Linked DNA regions of Arabidopsis thaliana. The protein of the gene in region 4 interacts with the protein of the main gene of each other region in a pairwise test. Each region holds a gene or a part of one and is shown on either strand. Other genes may lie near its edges. The genes, in order: AT1G49850, SWAP70, AT1G14340 and AT4G25660.

Region 1 (3,966 bases), on a different chromosome or scaffold from region 4:
TATTTTCTTTGTCGCCTTCAATATTATTGAGTAAGGTGATGGGATTTATTTGCAGCAAGAGAAGGAGAATTGCTGCTTAAATGTTGAATTTGTCTCATATTTTTCTAGCAAGTCAAAATTTCAATCTATGGAAAGTTAATTGTTAGCAAGTGAAGCTCTCTTATCTTCTTCAGCTTTCGTTGATTTTAAACTGAACTAAACCGTTTTAAGTTGGTTGAATTTGAATCATATAGGTTTTAATGTTGTCGAAGACATGAAATTGATGTGATAGAAAAAGAAAGGCAGGACATTCTTAATGTATGTATTGTTAATTTTAGTGGTTAGAGAGTGAGGTGTGTTAGGTACCCAATAGAGAAAGTGATGGTTAGGAGCAAATAAATGGGATTTTATGAAAGGAATTGAAGATGATGATCATGAATTTATGAAGAAAGGGGTCCATTTTGATATGCTTTTGTAGCAAAAAATAGCTTTTTGTGCACAACTGTCTTCTCCTTTTAGCCTTAACTTTGTTTTAAAGTTCTCTTTTTTTTGGCATAACTTTCTTTTAAAGTTGTTATAAATTGATTGAATCTTTTGATATTAGACTTCAATATATGTAACGTACATGGATGTATGATAATGACAACGTTTTGGAAGAGGAAGCAAAGCTTTAAAGTAGTATCACCAGATTGAGACAATCAAAATTTCTGAAAATGAAAACGTTAAGTTGTTGAGCTATAACCTCAAAGCATAACCAAATTGTCGGATCAAGATTTGGATTTGGAAAAAGTCTCTTTCATATAACCAACAAGACATTAAAAGAGAGATCACAGTGAATAAAACTAAAAAGATTCACACCATACGATATCAACGCTTGAACTGCCTAATGGCACAACAAAAACCATTACAAACATGTGACAGTAAAAAAAACACTCATGGGCGACAAAACTCAGAAGATCGTTTTAAGGATGTCTATAGCAAGAAGAAGAGAAGATGTGTATGGCTATGGCCTAATGGTTAGGCAAAGATTCTATTTACAAGTTTCTATTCCTTTGCTATGGCTCTACGGCAACAAGGACAATCTCCACAAGCTCTAAGCCAAGGGTTTAAGCAAGAAGAATGGAAACTATGGGTACAGGGTAAGGATATTAGCATGTCACCTTTAGTGAAACTCTCTAAACATATGCTACAATCTCTCATCTCGGATTTAACCTCGGCTGAGCTAAAAGTTTGCCGGTGTAAACAGTTAATAGCATCTTGAGTAAGACCTTGTGGTTTCTTGTTGCATTCATAGGTCACTTGAAGCCCTGCTAGTTGAAAAATTGGATCTCCATCTATAGAATGAAATGAAGACTCCCTTTGATCATCCAATGAAACTCTGTTGCTTCGACTGAATCAGAAAAACAAAGTTGAAACAAATCCGTAACCAAATTTTGAAAAAGAGGCTTCAAAGAAGATATTAAAGAATACACAAAGCAACAATAATCCACAAAAACTGATTTTTACACTAAGTCTTGACCAATCCTCACAAGAAACAAGAGCAAAATCAAAACATGCTTCAAAGAATCTTGATCAGACAAAAGCAATTATTTTTAAAGAAATCTAAAATCAGACTAGAGTGCAGATCAAGTAAAGCTGTAAAATTTATCAGTGGGTTAAGCACAGACCTGTTACTAGACAAAGAAACACCTCTCAATCTTTCGAAAAGTCTATCCCTTGCAAGCAGAACAGCTCCAGGAAGCCTCTCGGATCCATTTAGGTTAACAAAGCTGCTACTCTGAGTTTCAGTATCAGTACTATCCGTATTTAAATACTGACTAGTGCCTTGAACATCACGAATAGGTCTACTACGTTCCTGAATCTGTAAATTAGGGGAGATTTTAGTAAAAAGGACCAAATTCAGACAACTACTGAAATTAGTAATTACTAATTTGGTGGAAAGTAACTAACCGGATGGTGAAAGAAGCGTCGGAGACGGGGAGTGGGTCGCCGGAGAGGATCACAGCCGTCGGAATCATGACGCTGATTATGATGATGGACGCCGTGACGGCGATGATGATGGTGTGAGTGGTGTCGATAGGAAGAAGTGTCGGATTCTAAAGCCGGGTCGGATCGACCCGGACGTGATCTTCGTGTAGAGAAGAGTTCCGATGCGCTCGTCATGCACCGATCAATCACCAAATTCGTTTATATGATCTGAAACTAAGTGCAGCGAGTCAGAGACGATGAGATAAGGAGGACAGAGAGAGAGAAGAGAGAAAATTGCGAGGAAAAAGTAAAGGGAAACTGCAGTGAAAAGGTGACGTCATCTCCCACTTGCTGTCGGAGCTAAGACAAAACATCTTTAAAAACGGTGTCGCTGTAATAAAAAACTAAGGGGAAAAGCCCAATTATTGGGCCTATCCAAGTAAAGTCCACTAATACATAGGTCCCAAGAAAACGGGGAGAGCATTATGAAACACTAAACTGAATAAATGGAGAAATTGACGGAAAAAAAGGGAAAAAATGTTGTTTAATATACCAACTTTCAAAAAGTGGCCATTTAAACTATGAACTCCATATATGGCCAAATAAAACTTAGTAAAAGCGTTGATCGGCCATTTTATATATTCCAAAACATTGATCCGGCCAAAAACCCTGCGACGTTAGCAGTCGTTAATAGAGTCGATAATAGGCGTTAGCAGACGTTAATTAATCCGTTTAAACACAAACGACGTCGTTTTGTGTTTAATCGAAACCAACAAAATTCCCAATTCGATTCTCAATCCCTAAAATCCCCAATTCCAATTCTCATGCCCTAAAATTCCCAAATTCAAAAATCTTCAAAAGCCTCTCCATTTTTGTTCGTTTGAAGATTTTTGTGTTTAAACGGATTAATTAACGCCTGCTAACGCCTGTTATCGACTCTGTTAACGACTGCTAACGTCGCAGGATTTTTGGCCTGGTCAACGTTTTGAGATGTATAAAATGGTCGGTCAACGCTTTTACTAAGTTTTATTTGGCCATATATGGAGTTCATGGTTTAAATGGCCACTTTTTGAAAGTTGGTGTATTAAACAACATTTTTCCCGAAAAAAAATGAATAAATGGAGAAACTATTGATTAGTTAGTTGCTTAACTCAAATCTAATTGTTAATGTACTAGTTGCAGTATACAAGTTGGTTCTAGATAAAATTTTCCTCTTTTAATTTTGTTTTTTTATTGCCACTTTGTTAATTAACTCATTTATTAGTTGTTATTTAGTTGCTTTCACCCTTTATCAAACGATTGGAGCATAGTTTCACATAAATTTCCGATTTGGTTAAACAAACTCTCCGATTTAGTTCATCGAATTCGCAGATGTGAGCACCGTCGGTGTAGATGATGATGATCACGGCGGATAAGAGACGAGCTTCTTTGGTTTTCTTCTACTTAATGATCTAGATGACGGTTGATGATGATCGATTCGTAATCATCATCGGATTTTACGAGAGAAAAGAGAAAAAAAATACACGGGAAAAAAAATTAATGTTCTTTCCTCACATTACCGAACCTATGAAACATGATAGGTATGGGCCTCTTTCCAAACAAAAAATGTTCTTAGCTAAAGTGAGTTCCATCCACTTCATCACATTTTTTCTTTAAATGTTGGCTTTTTTCTAAGGGCTTCAGACCACCGTTAACGATAGTTGTTTAATAGAATTCTTAACAATTAAAAAAATAAAAATAATTAAAAGTTAAAAAAAGAGAGAGAATGAGAAATTCCAAAAACTCTTAGCTAAGAGACGATATCACAAACCCAAAGACACGTTCATCTTTATTATTGGTCTATCTATATAAAATATTTAAAATATAACTGTAAAATTAAAATATTATTATTTTTATCCTTTTATAAATTTTCATAGCATACTGGCGTTGAGGATGGTCTCACCTCTCTAGAGCTCATCTAGAATCACCGTTGGAGGTTGTCTGAGTTTCCTAAGAAAGCGGGAGATCATTATAATTATG
Region 2 (5,568 bases), on a different chromosome or scaffold from region 4:
TATGGGTTTCCCTGCTGATGAGAAAGTTATTAAGGAGAGTGAAGAGAAGCTTGCAGAAGTGCTTGATGTCTATGAAGCTCAGCTTTCTAAGAACGAATACTTGGCTGGTGATTTTGTGAGTCTAGCTGATTTGGCTCACCTTCCTTTCACCGAGTATCTTGTTGGTCCTATTGGGAAGGCTCATTTGATCAAAGATAGGAAGCATGTTAGCGCTTGGTGGGATAAGATTAGTAGCCGTGCTGCGTGGAAGGAGGTTTCCGCTAAGTACTCACTACCTGTTTAAACAAGGAGATGTTGACTTGGGGGGTTTGTGTGAGCTTTGTGTTCTTTGAGGGAGTTCGTTTTCGGGTCGATTGTCTTGTTGTTTCAATAAGAAACGGAACTCTGTCTCATTTGTTGTCTCTGGTTTCTTGTATTCTGTAACTTTTCAAGCTTTTCAATAAGAGTTTAAAATCAGAGTGACTCAACCCATGTATATTCCTCTATTCAGTGTAGGTCTTTGATAAAACTGGTACTAACATCACAACCATCGTGGTTTGTTGAAGGATTGCATTTATATGAAAACTGGTTTATATGAATCCAAAAACATAAGTCAAAGTTTAACACATATCTCTCTGTTCTTCATGTTGTAATAAAAGGGAAAAAGAATCATTCCCTAGTCAGACAAATTCAAGAGCGGCAGATACATAACAACTCTTGAATGTACAAGAAAACTAAAAAGACAAATTCTTTTTGTTGTTAGAAGAATCAACTCTCCAAACATTACCAGACCATCAAAGAGTATATTAAAATGTACGAAGATCTACCAATCTTTATTCAAGGCTGGTGATGAAATGATTCGGAAGGCGGATCATTGCGTGGAACGTTAGGTTCAGGAGACACTACCGGGATATCCAAGCTGTTTCTTCTGTCCCGTTCAGTCTCTGCAGATATTTCTCTTACATCAGAAACTCTTGCCTCTGTTGCCTGAATATCATTCCATTCGTTTTCTCCCACCGGAGGCTGAGCGTTTACTACCTGCTCTTCACTCATATGGACTACATTCTCTCCCGGTATAGAGGCTGTTCTTGAAATGCTCAGACATGCTTTATCCACATTCTTTTCTGTTTCCTTTGTCATTGGAAGAGAAGCTTCGCCGTTAGTAGACTCAGTCTTCTCCTCACACACTTGCTTTGTCTCTAGTTGCTGCCTGTTTATTCAAAAATAAAGAGATTTATGACCCTTCAAAAGTCATGAGTTTCCCTGGGAGATAGATTCAGATAGGCTCACCTTTGAAGCTGAGTTTGTAACATATTCACATATGCTAAAAGCTCTTGCTTCTCTGTCCAAGCAGTTGCTTCTCTCTGAGAAGCCTCTTTTGATTTTGCTTCACCGCTTGCTTCTGCAACCCTCACTTTCTCTTCGGCCCTCACAACAGCTCCTTCAAGTATGACAACACGCTCTCTGGCTTTCCCAAGCTCAGACCGCCACATATGTGCCTCTTGGAGAGCAGCGTCTCTTTCCTTAACCAATTGATCTTTTTCCTTACTCAAAGTAAAGGTCTTCTCTTCCAATTCCTTGAGCTACATAGGAGATAAAGATCAAATAAACAACAAAACATACACAAGGATGCAAAAGTATCTATATATGACATGGCCTCATTACCTTTAATTTTGTGGCTTCTTGCTGTCTCTGTGAGTCTGTAGTCAAGCGCTCAAATTCCACACAAACGATTTTCCTTTGTTCATCCATTGTATGAGCAGCAGATGCTGCAGCTACAGCTGCTTCAGCAGTCTCAGATAGCTTATCTGCTATTTCCTTTATCATTGAGTCACGAGAACGAAGTTCCCTGGCTAAATTATGTAATTCTTCATCTTTGACACGCAGAGTTTCCTGTAAGATGTAAGTGGCTCAATAAGGTTAACCTGGACATTAGAATGAAGATGGACGAATAAGATTTATGCTAATTCTGTTAATTTTCATCCTTGACAAGCAGAGTTTCCTGTAAGGTGTCCCTATATGCTTTCATCGTTCATCTTGACATTTCAGAATCTCAACAGCCAAAGGATGTCAATATGCTATTCACAAAAGTTTCCCAAATTCGAAGAGAAAGAGAGATGCAAAGATACCACACCTTCATTATTGTCAAATCATCTAGTGGTCCATCAATCGGTTTATTTGGCGTTATTTTCAATGCATTCCTCAAAGAGATCTGCATTGCTGCTTGAATTTCTCTGGAACATTCCAATGCTGTTGAATTGGCAGCGGCAACAACGGTTGCAACGGTACCAAGTGTTGCAGAACCACTTCCACTTAGAGATTCGACAGCCTCCTTATGGGCCTTTAGAACTAGCTGTGTCGCACTGGAACGAACAAAGAAAGATAAGGTTTATCAGATTGGCTTTTGAGGGGCATTTAGAAGGTATTACATTTTCAGTAAGAAACGTAAAAAGAGAGAGAAAGATGATTCTTTCAACATGGTCGACGACGAAACCATTAAATCAACACAACTATGAATTATTTAAGATAGATGAAATAAGCGGGGTGGCTTCTCTAGAGAATGGTAAGTAAATAAAAAGGACAGAAAGAGAAGCAAACAAAAAGATGAAGATCCAGATGACTTACTGTAAGGTTGTGACCCAAGCTTTAGCTGCACCAGGAGTCTCTGCACACAAAAAGTAATCTTTCTTCTGTGGGGTACCAATATCTTATATCAAGTTGAAGAAAATTCAACTCTAGATTCCAATCAACTATCTCCTTATAGACAAAAGAAACAATTATAAATATGCCAACATTTTACTAAAACCAAGGATACAAATACAGCAACCATTATATTTTGGAAGCCCCCTGAAACACAAAAGAAACAAAGTCAATGATACAAACAGACACCAAATAATGATGATTATACAGAGCAACAAAAAAAAGAATGTAGCATCCATACTGGAAGTTGACAGGAGAGATGGAGATTGTGCTATTTTCGTCAAACAAAATTGTTCCCTTGATAGTTGGCTCATTTCGCCTCGTCCTGAGTCATGGAAATACATCAGAAATGAATAAAACCATGATGAAGTGGTCTACACACAAATGCAGCTACATAAGCAAATTGATATAACTCACTTATACTCCATTTTCCCTGTTGTTGGATCAAGTATCACCCATCGTTCGTTCCATTTTCTCAGCTATTCATACATAAACACAAACAAAAGATATTATCATTGTGAACCTTTGAATAAGCCAAGACATTTCAGGCCAAAAGACTTGTTTAAGCTATAGAAATCTAATAGTGAGCTATCAGAGAGTCTTCTTAGTTTGAGCTAACTAAGAAATCCCAATCAATAAAGCAAAAACTGGTTTTGATCATTTTCACTTAAAAAAATTGGACTTACAGTTTCAGATCGCTTGAAAAGAGGTCCTTGTAGCAAGTTCCGACCAGAGCCAGATGCCAATTGTCGCTTGATCTTATCCAAGCTGTTCTCAGTAGCATCAACAATTCTCTGCGCATTTTCAGAAATTGACAAAATGGGTCAATTTAAGAGTGTGAATGAGAAAAGCAGCCAAAAGAAAGAGACTAAATTGTAGCACACAGAGATCAAGAGAGAAAAAGACCGGAGAAGCGCCGTTGGAAGCCATGTTAATTGGGATCGACGAGATCGGAAAGCTCTTGATCGATTAGAAGTGAATTGTTGCTGATCGATGGATCGAGAGAAGAAGGGTTTTAAGAGGTTTTCTTTGGTATAGCTATGAGTATAAGCTGAAGAAGACGAGGTTACAGAAGAAGAAGAAGAAGAAGAAGGAATTGGAGAAAAATGCTGTTAGGTTTGGTTTCGCGGAATTGCAGTTGAATCTGTCTTCACTCTTTCAACGCGATCAAATCAACTTAACCGGTCGGTACGATACTGGATCAGCTTACTCGTCAAATGAACCGGTTCTTGAGTTTCTCACTTTTTGTTTGTTCACTTCATTTTTATGGTTTTTGATCTGACGGTGGAGGTGTCATCACATGATTCTTTTGTTTTGTTTTTGGTTATGAGGATGATTAAGTAGATCTGTAGAAGGTAGGCTTTGTTAAGGGAGAAGCTTTACATAAACGATGGGCTAAGGAACATCAATGGGCCGGGCTGTAACAAGCCAATCGTTTAGGAGAGAGCAGAGTTCTTACTTTGCCCAACTAATCTCAAATGTGTGCAAGATTGTGAAATATTGCGTACTAGCTTCGACGCTTGGTAGTGGTGACTTAGACACTTAGTTCACAGGGACTTCAAACATAGATGCGTTAGACACAGCTTTACACTTTCTCTTAATCTTCAAGATTTTCAATGTACTACAACTTCCCTAATGGTCGTAATGAAACATGATATAAGTACATAACATAATATTCAATAATATATGAGATTTGAGTAATCATATGTGATATGATGATACTCTTTCCTTAATAGCTAGGCGCTGATAACTACATAGGAGGAGGAAACACAACAACTTGTTGGGGATACAGAAATGGATTGAAAAGCATCAAAGCAAAAGAGTAGTAGACATGTAAGCCAAGACAATATTCAATTTTGGGGTTAACTGAAGTGGGAAAGCTGCAAAACGTGAAGTGGTCCTCTTGCTTTATTCTACGTATGTAGATTCCTTTTGTATGAATTTTCTCATTTGTTTTTCACTTCTATGGCATTCTCATCAACCCAACCATGCATATATTTCCTAAATGAAACGTCTAAGAAGCTATCAAAATCCATATTTTTTTGGCTCCTTTATATTCAATCTCCAAAATAAGAAGAAACTTCTACTATATAATATACTACAGAATTTGGACACCTTTTGACATTTATAAGTTTGACCATTTATCTAAAATTTGGTATGTTCTTATGATTAGTGTTTGAAAATAAGAAAATATATATCCATGTGATGTGGTCATTCATGTATACCTTCCATAGTGAAATCATGATGTTTGTTGACAGTAACATATTGTTAGTGGTCTATGAGCTAGTGCAACCTGCCATGACTCACTTTCCCTTGCAAAATCTGACATTCTTCCACAAAACATAAAAGTCCATTAAAATTCTACTTTTGGATGAATCTGACCTTAAGGAATTTTCAGTTTCAGTTTCTTCTTTTTTTTTTCATAGAAAACCAAAAGTGCTGTAGAGTCGCAGAGATAGTGACATCCACTTGAATATTCTTCTGTTTTTTCTTACATTCATTAATTAAATTCAATACTCAAATTATATATATATAGTCCTTTTTAGATATAAAACATCATTATTAACATCTAATTAAGATTGACAAAAATGAAGTTCGTTATATCAAATCGATTGCCCATTCCTCCACTTGCTTTTCTTCATTTAAATTCAGAGATACTAGTAAAATAAACCATCAACCTCCATGCAAAACCATATTATATAACAAAGTTGCGAGCTTAACTTTTTTTTTTTTTCTTTTTATCACATTTCTTTACACTCTAAAAGCAAATTCTAAAACTTTTCTTTTCTTTTCTCTTCTTCTATCTATAGCTAAGAAACTAGTGGATCAAGTATTCAAGTTCCATATATACCGTCATCCAATTCTTTACAAAGAGCTAGATACACACAA
Region 3 (3,806 bases), on a different chromosome or scaffold from region 4:
TTTATCACTTTGTACGAGAAATCGCTCCGATCATCTCCGGTGAGTCCCGAAATAACCGTCACGCGGAGGTTAGTGAACCTGTAACGAAGGTTAAAAGCTCGAGACACTGCAGCTAAGGTTAGTGGGAGCCAAAGGATGGTTAGACCTAGAATGAGATTGGCTAATAGATCTCCGTAATGAGCTCCGCCGTCGAAGTAGACTGTTTCTTTCTTCGCCGGTTTGGAATCGGAAGGAACGGTGGATGCGGATGCGGAGGAGGAAGCTAGGAGCAATCTTTGAATGTGTCTTTGTGGTAGTTTCGTGGAGGGAGACAATGAAGAAGCGGGGAAGGAGAAGGTGGTTGAGAGGAGGAGAGATTTGCGAACGACGGAGGTTACGGCGGTTGACGGCGGAATTGAGGAAGAAGCTGCCATGAGAGAATGATTTGAGTGACTGGAAGATTTGGAGTGAAAAGATGATGACTTCTCTGTTTTTTGGATTTGATTTTTTGGCGCAAATTGTGCCACGTGGCCTAAGCTCTATGGATACAACATCTATCCAAATATTGAATCAATATCAACCATAGAATGATATAAATCAGAAATTATATAAGAAAAAAGATTATGCTACTAATGAAGAGTTAAGATGTAGGTAATGTAACCAAACTCTATATCAGCATCATCATGTGAGAGTATACTTTGATAGATTTCTATATGGTATTCGTTTTGATAAAATTTGGTCTTATCACACTTCATGAGCCAGTTATTCATGATCAGCTTTGCATCATATATATTCACAGACGAATACGGTTCTGAATCGGGCCATTGGTCTATTCACTGCCTTGAGCCGCGGGTACCGAGATCAGATGCGGCTTTAGCAGCTCTCTCTAATGCACCAGACAGCCAAAGAGCTCCGCTGGAGAAGTAACTGCTATTGACAACACTAGTTGCAGCTGCTGCCGCGGTTCTTCCTGTGGCAAAGACAGCTGATTTAGCTGTATCTGAAACATGATACCTTTGGTCAGTCATTCTAACAGCTTCAAGTCCGGTAAAGATTTTGTCAGTAAGACCAATCCTCTGTTCTAGTTGAGATACTCTAGCCACCGCTGCAGCTGATACGCCGTGGGATTCATCAAAGGCTTTAGCTTTGCTTAAAGCGTCTTTGCCTAGCACGAATCCTGTGGCAAGCATTATTTTCACCACTTCTTGAGCTTTTGTCACTGCTTCTCCAGCGTTGAACTCGCTTCGTTGAGCATAATGCTACATGATTGAAGAACGAATAAGCTTTAGAATTGAGACCAAGCATCAAACTTCAACATAAAGACTACTGAACCAGTGACCGTTAGATTTAACTATTTTAACAAAAAAAGAAGACAGAAAGATCAAAGTTGAGAGAAGTGTCAAAAGCGATACATACTTGTGAGTCCGATTCATCTTCAAAACCTCGCGAAGTCGCATTCCAGAAATCGAACTCTTCGTGATGTTGTCCCCAACGAGTTATACAAACACGCTGATCCAATATCGTTGCGCCCTGAAGATATCAAAGAAGTGAGTGATTTCTCAAGAGACATCCAAAAAAGATAGAAAGAGTGAATCAAATCCAAACTAACACTTACAGTGAGTAAAACAGCAGTTTCTTGAGAATAAGAATCCTTAAACATCACATAAGCAGTACAAGCTTGCTCACCCGACCTAGTCTCATTAACAACATTACAAAGTGTACTCTTTTGAATCCAGAATAAGCAAACAAACAACAAACTTGCTAAAAAGTAAAAAGACTCACCTGACAATATCAATATCTTGGATAGTACCAGAGAAAGAGAAGAAATCGATAAGATCATTATGAGTAACAGATGGAGATAACCCAGTAACTTCAACACCATATCCAAATTGATGATCCATCTCTGCTCAATAAGCTAAAAACAAAACAAAAAACCTAAAAATTTCAACATATCCTAAGTCAATAAATTAAATTACTTCCAGTTCGTGATTCAACTTTGGGAACTACATAGAACTTTCCGATTTAGCTTTACATGATTTGGGATTGAAATTTTCAAGCGAAATTTGAGCAAGGACAGATTGCCAAATATGTTCAGACCTAAATCGTTGATTCACTAAGCTCTAGAGAAGAAATTTAAGGAATCGAAGAATAGAAGTTACCTGTTGTAGTTGTTGTTGACCAACGGAGATCACACACAGAGAAGCTTGAAAGAGAGACAAAGGTGATGAATTGATGAAGTTGATGATGTGAGTGGGAAAGAGAAGGACTACCTTTTCAGTGAACGAAAAAGACGCAATTTTAAAAAGCTAAAAACTGCGCCGTTTAGTAACTCAATGTTGGGCCTTTAATGTCTTGAGTTAGCCCATATCGTTAACGGTTCTAAATGTAATAAAAAATTCTACATGAAAGGCCCAATGTTGTTTGATTATTTTCCAGTCTCAAACAACCCATAATCACAAATATTTTTTGAAACATAAATTTTCATCTTATGCTATTTTTTATTTTAAAAATCAGTCTTTACATATTAAAATTAAATCATTAATCATTACTAAGTGTTTGTACAAGAAGCAAAAATTAACAATCTATAGACGATTTTGTTTTTTTTCAGCAACGATTTTAACATTCTAGAACCTTTTTTATACCTTAGTATTGCATGTATATATAAAAATTGGAGTAATTTTAGATATTATCTGTCTAACCGTCCAAAGTCCAAACAGGTAAAAGTTCTCTAAGTGATAACTTTTTAAAATCTCTAAAGAGACAAATTTGACAAGTGTATGTGATATAAATACTTATGTTACTGTTAATACATGAGAGAAATTCAACGGAAAAGAAAGTTAGACCATTTTCATTGGGGGTTTTTTATAAGAGTTTCTCACAATTAAAAAATAAAAATAATAAAAATGAAGGAGAGAGAGTAGAAAGTTTCTTACTTGAGAAACTCTGAGATATTCTCTACAATCCATCATGATAATTCCCTTTTAATTATTGATTCAACTTTTTAATAAAAATATTTTTTTAATCAAAAAATCAAATTATAATATAATATTAATTTTTTTTTGTTTGAGAAACTTTGTGGGTTTTTCATGGATGGAGATGCCCTTAACTAAAAAGGAGAAAAAGAAAAGACGTGTGCCTAACAAATGTTTGATGTAATTGGTAAAAAAACGCAAAGAACATTATTATTATTAATATTCTTTGCATATGAGCCGTTGGCCAAATCAATACTTACGTCTCTCTTTCTCCATCTCTCATTGTCTCTTTCTACTTCTTTCCACGGCCACGTCCGTCTGTCAAAATTTACTAGTTTTTAATTCAGATTGATCTAGTCAGAATCTACTTTTTTTTTATGTGTGTGGTTCATGTTTCTATATTCTGACCCCTGCTGCAGTGAATTGCTATTTATGTATTTTTCATGCAAAACCAAAATTCACTGCTGGAAATGTATATTTTTCATATATGTAAACACCAGATAGTTTAATTTTGTTTTTTCACTTGTCTACCAAAATTAGAACTTTTATTAAACAACAACAATAAGGTGCTTGCGACTATAGCTTTAGAAGTTCAAGTATATGGATTATGGAACTTCTAAAAATTGCGACTATATATAAGCAAAAAACATATATTTAAGAAAAAAATAAATGTTCTAAATTACAGGAAATAGTTGAATATTGGTCCTCCAAATACAATTATCTTCACCATATATGATTATAACAATAAAATATAAAAGGTTGACCATTGACTAATGTATATATTCTATAGCTAGGTTAGACGTTTTGATTCGGATTTTGAATTTCATAGTGAAAGATTTTGATATTGAGTTGACG
Region 4 (4,446 bases):
TTCTGGGATTGTATTGTCCGCACCATGAGGTATTCCTATATACCAGAGTGGGTGTAGTTCTTGAGTTCCTCTACAACATCATCGAGTTTAGTGCAGTTTTTTAGTTAGAAATTTATAGTCAAGCAATAATGGATCACACGGTGTGCAAGCAAGTTCAGCCAGTCGTTAGGAAAGCGAAGAAGAAGCATGGTAAAGATGAATTTGATCGTATCAAACAAGCTGAGAAGAAAAAGAGACGTTTGGAGAAAGCTCTTGCTACTTCTGCAGCCATCCGGGCTGAGCTTGAAAAGAAGAAGCAGAAGAGATTGGAAGAACAACAAAGGTTAGATGAAGAAGGAGCTGCAATTGCAGAAGCTGTTGCTCTGCACGTCCTACTGGGCGAAGATTCTGATGATTCATCTCGAGTCAAGTTTGGTGAAGAAAAGGGTTTCACAATGGATCTGTTTAGAGATGAAAGAACTAACTACGTTCCTCGCCAAAGCTGTGCTAGCTATGCGGTTCAAGGGATTGGGTTTGTGTCAAATGGCTATGGACTAGGAGATAGTAACTGGTCGCCATTCACGAGGAGGGGTGCTTGGGATAACAACATGGGAATATCAGCTGATTTGATTGCTGCTCAGGCTGTCTCGGCGCTACAGATATCTGAAAATGCTGATGGGAACGCCTTTGTGTTCAATGGGATGTTCCGGGGATGACAGATGCCACGACTCGTCCTCATTCGGTTTTTAAAATAAACATTTGCCTTCTGCTTGCTTTGGTGTCAATGCTCTGTTTTTTTCTCTTGACGTTAGACCTTATACTCTGTTTTCGTTCGCTGTAATATTAAAGACGCATTTTGAGTTGTATCTATTATACATGTTGAAGTCTCTTCATACTGCATTGTTGCTTATCTTATATCACATTCTTTTAACAAACCCTCTAATAGGTGTGCAATGCATATGCTAAGACTTGCTTGGTCTTTGCCAGTAACGTGTTGAAAATATCTTCTTAACAAAATCACACGTTCTGCTGTGAAAAGGGGAAAAAAAAAGAGAGGTGTGTTCGAATCGTGATACAAAGTAATGGATACAAACGAATAAATTTTGGATAGGTGGATATACAGTAAGTGAATACATTGGGGTGGATCAGTACAGTTGCTACTGAAATAGTAGAACATCAGAGTCACGGTTCTGCTTTTTCTGATTGGTGATTGTATGATTTGTATCTTCCTCTTTGTTCCCTATCTCTGTACTTGTGGAGGGTTTGGCAGTGTTAAGTATACCTTTCAACCAACTACCTTGCAATCTAAAGCTCCCATTGTCTGAATTGTTGAGAGTTCCTGGCCGCTGTGGAGAGCCACTGGAGCCATTTGAACCATTGGTTATGTTTGAGGTAACATTCGAAAGGAAGCGATAAGCCACTTTACTGGCTGAAACAAGTTCAGTTTTGGCTTGCTTTACCTGCAAAAGTCACAGTTCACAAGGACTTAACATCCACATGCATTCAGGTGTAAAAAAAGAAACAGCGTGGGCAGAGCAAAATGAGAGAGAACCCACCCGCATTGCTGTGTTTCCTGCTACTTCCAAGGCTGTGTCGCCAGCATGAGCAAAACGATTCACCCAACCTGTTAAGAGACAGAACCCAAGCCGTCACATAACATAAACACACACACAAACCCTGATTCCCACAATAATGGTTTTACCTGGGATCTTTGGCACACCAAGGCGGTCACATAATACATCGCAGAAGTGATTGCAATTTTTGGACAGCAAATCATAAGTGTGTCCTGGCCATTCCCTGCTGAGCTCACGCAAGATCTGATTTACCATGAAGATTGTACAATCTGTCTTCCCAAGAACAATTTTCTCACGATATGTGTACATTGGATTCTTGCCACTAGGACAGCTGAACACACCAGTTCCTTGTTCACAATACCCATAAGACCATTCATCGTTTCCATATACCTGCACAAAGTTCATACAAGATTCTATTCAATCACTCTTCCCTGCGAATCAATAGCAACATGTAAACCTAAAGTTCATCGCACCCATAATCCCATAACACGTTTCTAAAATTACTTGAAGAACCGAGTATTGAGATCCTCAGTACAGACGAAAAGGGAGCTTAAGCTCAAGATCTTACAGAGACCTTTACGACCATATGCCATTAGATTAGAGCCTCACAGATAAAACCAAAAATATCATTCCTTCAAATTCTTCATTTCCACATACAGACACACAAACAACAACTCAAAAGAGAGACATCATCGATACATGTGCAGATGTAGATTGATAGACTAAAGACGAAGAAGATCGAGGCAGTGGAGTAGTAGTACCTGAATAGCGCTGTGGAATATACCGCCAAGACCGATCCCGTCTTTGAAGAACCTATTGATCTGAACTATGGTGTTGTTAGTCTTCTCTGATCCACTGTTCGTCACATCGTATATGTGCAGAACAACCTCCGCCATTGATTCTATCTTTACCAAGAAACACGAACCCTAATTTACTACGAAATTGAGCTCGCAGATTCTCTCTATAGTAGCTTCAGAGAAGAAGGAAACCTATAGAATCGTACCAAATCCACTTTTCTTCAACAAATCCAAATTCTCTAATCTACTAGATCTCTAAGAAACCACTGCACGAAACTCTTGTTTTTAGATTTTGATCTAAAGCTGAGGTATTTTGAGTTTGTTTATCTTCTCCCAAACTTTTCAATCTCAGACGTGGGAGATTGAAGAAACTGATGCTGTGGTGTCTGGAAAGGACCCTTATACCCTCACTTTGCCGACGCCGGTTTCACACTCAACCGACACTTTCTCTTTCAATTAACCGGTTTAGTTTTCATTAAACCAGAAAAATGATTATCAATTGGTTTAAATACATCCTGAGATATTTTAATTTGAACCGTTGGATTATAAATTTGTCAAAAGAGATTGGTAAAGAAGACTTTCATTTGCTTCGTCTCTCCGGTTGTTACCACCACACAACGCCATGGAAGCTGCTCTTGCTGCATGCGCTCTTCCATCGCTCCGAATTCTCAATACGAAACCTCGTTTCAGATGTTCCTTCTCCAATCCAAGCCTACCCATTTCTCCTAATTCCCTTATCACCCGCAAATCAAGTCGATTCACAACCGCAGTATCATCACCACCATCATCATCAGCCGCTACGTCAACGAATTCTCCACCGGAACCTGAAGCCCTATTCGAACCCGGGTCGGATAAGTTCGATTGGTACGCTAATTGGTACCCAGTGATGCCAATTTGCGATCTTGACAAGAAGGTTCCTCATGGGAAGAAAGTTATGGGGATTGATTTGGTTGTTTGGTGGGATAGGAACGAGAAGCAATGGAAAGTGATGGATGACACGTGTCCTCATCGTCTTGCTCCTTTGTCTGATGGAAGGATTGATCAATGGGGGAGGTTGCAATGTGTTTATCATGGATGGTGCTTTAATGGTTCCGGTGACTGTAAACTCATTCCTCAAGCTCCTCCTGATGGTCCTCCGGTAAATTTTTATAGCTATTGATGATGATTTGTTTGTTTTAGATTGGTTTAGCATATGGTTTATATGGAACATAAAGTCAAAGTCTTTGGTTGTATCAATGATTATTTTGGTAATGCAAATCAGGTCCACACTTTCAAGCAAGCTTGTGTAGCTGTTTACCCGAGTACTGTGCAGCATGAGATCATTTGGTTTTGGCCAAACAGTGATCCAAAGTACAAAAACATTATTGAAACCAACAAGCCTCCTTACATTCCAGAGTTAGAAGACCCATCATTCACTAAGTTGATGGGGAATCGTGATATTCCTTACGGGTATCTATTGGCTTTTACATCATTTCAACTATGTGTGGTAATTCTCCGTTGATGTTTTTGTGTAAATCTGAAATCTTTCAGGTACGATGTCTTGGTGGAAAACCTCATGGACCCGGCTCATGTTCCTTATGCACATTATGGACTGATGCGGTTTCCTAAACCAAAAGGCAAATACATAATTTGTATTTCAAATAGTTGTTTTAATCCTTTTACCAACCTTCAGATTCTTCTTGCAGAGAAGATTGACAGAGAAGGGGGGAAACCACTCGAAATCAACGTTAAAAAACTAGACAACAAAGGGTTCTTTTCAAAACAAGAATGGGGTTATTCTAATTTTATTGCACCATGTGTGTATCGCTCTTCCACAGACCCTCTACCAGAGCAGGAACATGAGTATCCCGCACCAGCTGCTTCTGACAAGGTCATAGATTTTAACTTGTATCAAGATTTTCTTGTTTAGAGTCACATGTTTTAGTTACCTAACAGTATGGTTCTGTATACAGGCGGCATTGTCAAAGCGGAGATTGTCTTTGATCTTTATATGTATTCCGGTCAGTCCAGGTCGTAGTAGGCTGATATGGACGTTCCCGAGGAATTTTGGTGTATTTATTGATAAGATTGTCCCTAGATGGGTGTTTCACATTGGT

What was found.
Region 1: the proteins of AT4G25660 (region 4) and AT1G49850 interact in a two-hybrid assay, tested with the Arabidopsis thaliana proteins (one large-scale study listed by BioGRID).
Region 2: the proteins of AT4G25660 (region 4) and SWAP70 interact in a two-hybrid assay, tested with the Arabidopsis thaliana proteins (one large-scale study listed by BioGRID).
Region 3: the proteins of AT4G25660 (region 4) and AT1G14340 interact in a two-hybrid assay, tested with the Arabidopsis thaliana proteins (one large-scale study listed by BioGRID).

What each region holds. Positions count from the first base shown.
Region 1 is NC_003070.9:18,454,303-18,458,268, forward strand, and holds AT1G49850 (RING/U-box superfamily protein), read right to left. Parts: upstream 2,318-3,966; 5' UTR 2,143-2,317; coding exon 1,930-2,142; intron 1,841-1,929; coding exon 1,647-1,840; intron 1,370-1,646; coding exon 1,024-1,369; 3' UTR 542-1,023; downstream 1-541. UniProt on the Arabidopsis thaliana protein: Probable E3 ubiquitin-protein ligase that may possess E3 ubiquitin ligase activity in vitro.
Region 2 is NC_003071.7:13,142,110-13,147,677, forward strand, and holds SWAP70 (Pleckstrin homology (PH) domain-containing protein), read right to left. Parts: upstream 3,952-5,568; 5' UTR 3,610-3,951; coding exon 3,586-3,609; intron 3,474-3,585; coding exon 3,366-3,473; intron 3,159-3,365; coding exon 3,097-3,158; intron 3,005-3,096; coding exon 2,921-3,004; intron 2,827-2,920; coding exon 2,795-2,826; intron 2,687-2,794; coding exon 2,605-2,686; intron 2,343-2,604; coding exon 2,114-2,342; intron 1,873-2,113; coding exon 1,645-1,872; intron 1,563-1,644; coding exon 1,270-1,562; coding exon of another isoform or gene 1,266-1,269; exon of another isoform or gene 1,190-1,265; coding exon 817-1,189; 3' UTR 556-816; downstream 1-555. Other genes in the region: GSTF10 (glutathione S-transferase PHI 10), read left to right, coding at 1-283.
Region 3 is NC_003070.9:4,895,783-4,899,588, reverse strand, and holds AT1G14340 (RNA-binding (RRM/RBD/RNP motifs) family protein), read right to left. Parts: upstream 2,244-3,806; 5' UTR 2,139-2,243; intron 1,895-2,138; 5' UTR 1,881-1,894; coding exon 1,762-1,880; intron 1,671-1,761; coding exon 1,595-1,670; intron 1,510-1,594; coding exon 1,396-1,509; intron 1,239-1,395; coding exon 813-1,238; 3' UTR 554-812; downstream 1-553. Other genes in the region: AT1G14345 (NAD(P)-linked oxidoreductase superfamily protein), read right to left, coding at 1-413.
Region 4 is NC_003075.7:13,081,680-13,086,125, reverse strand, and holds AT4G25660 (PPPDE putative thiol peptidase family protein), read right to left. Parts: upstream 2,720-4,446; 5' UTR 2,450-2,719; coding exon 2,315-2,449; intron 1,944-2,314; coding exon 1,682-1,943; intron 1,604-1,681; coding exon 1,536-1,603; intron 1,440-1,535; coding exon 1,137-1,439; 3' UTR 696-1,136; downstream 1-695. Other genes in the region: AT4G25670 (stress response NST1-like protein), read left to right, coding at 129-695; ACD1-like protein, read left to right, coding at 2,973-3,488, 3,612-3,799, 3,881-4,220, 4,303-4,446.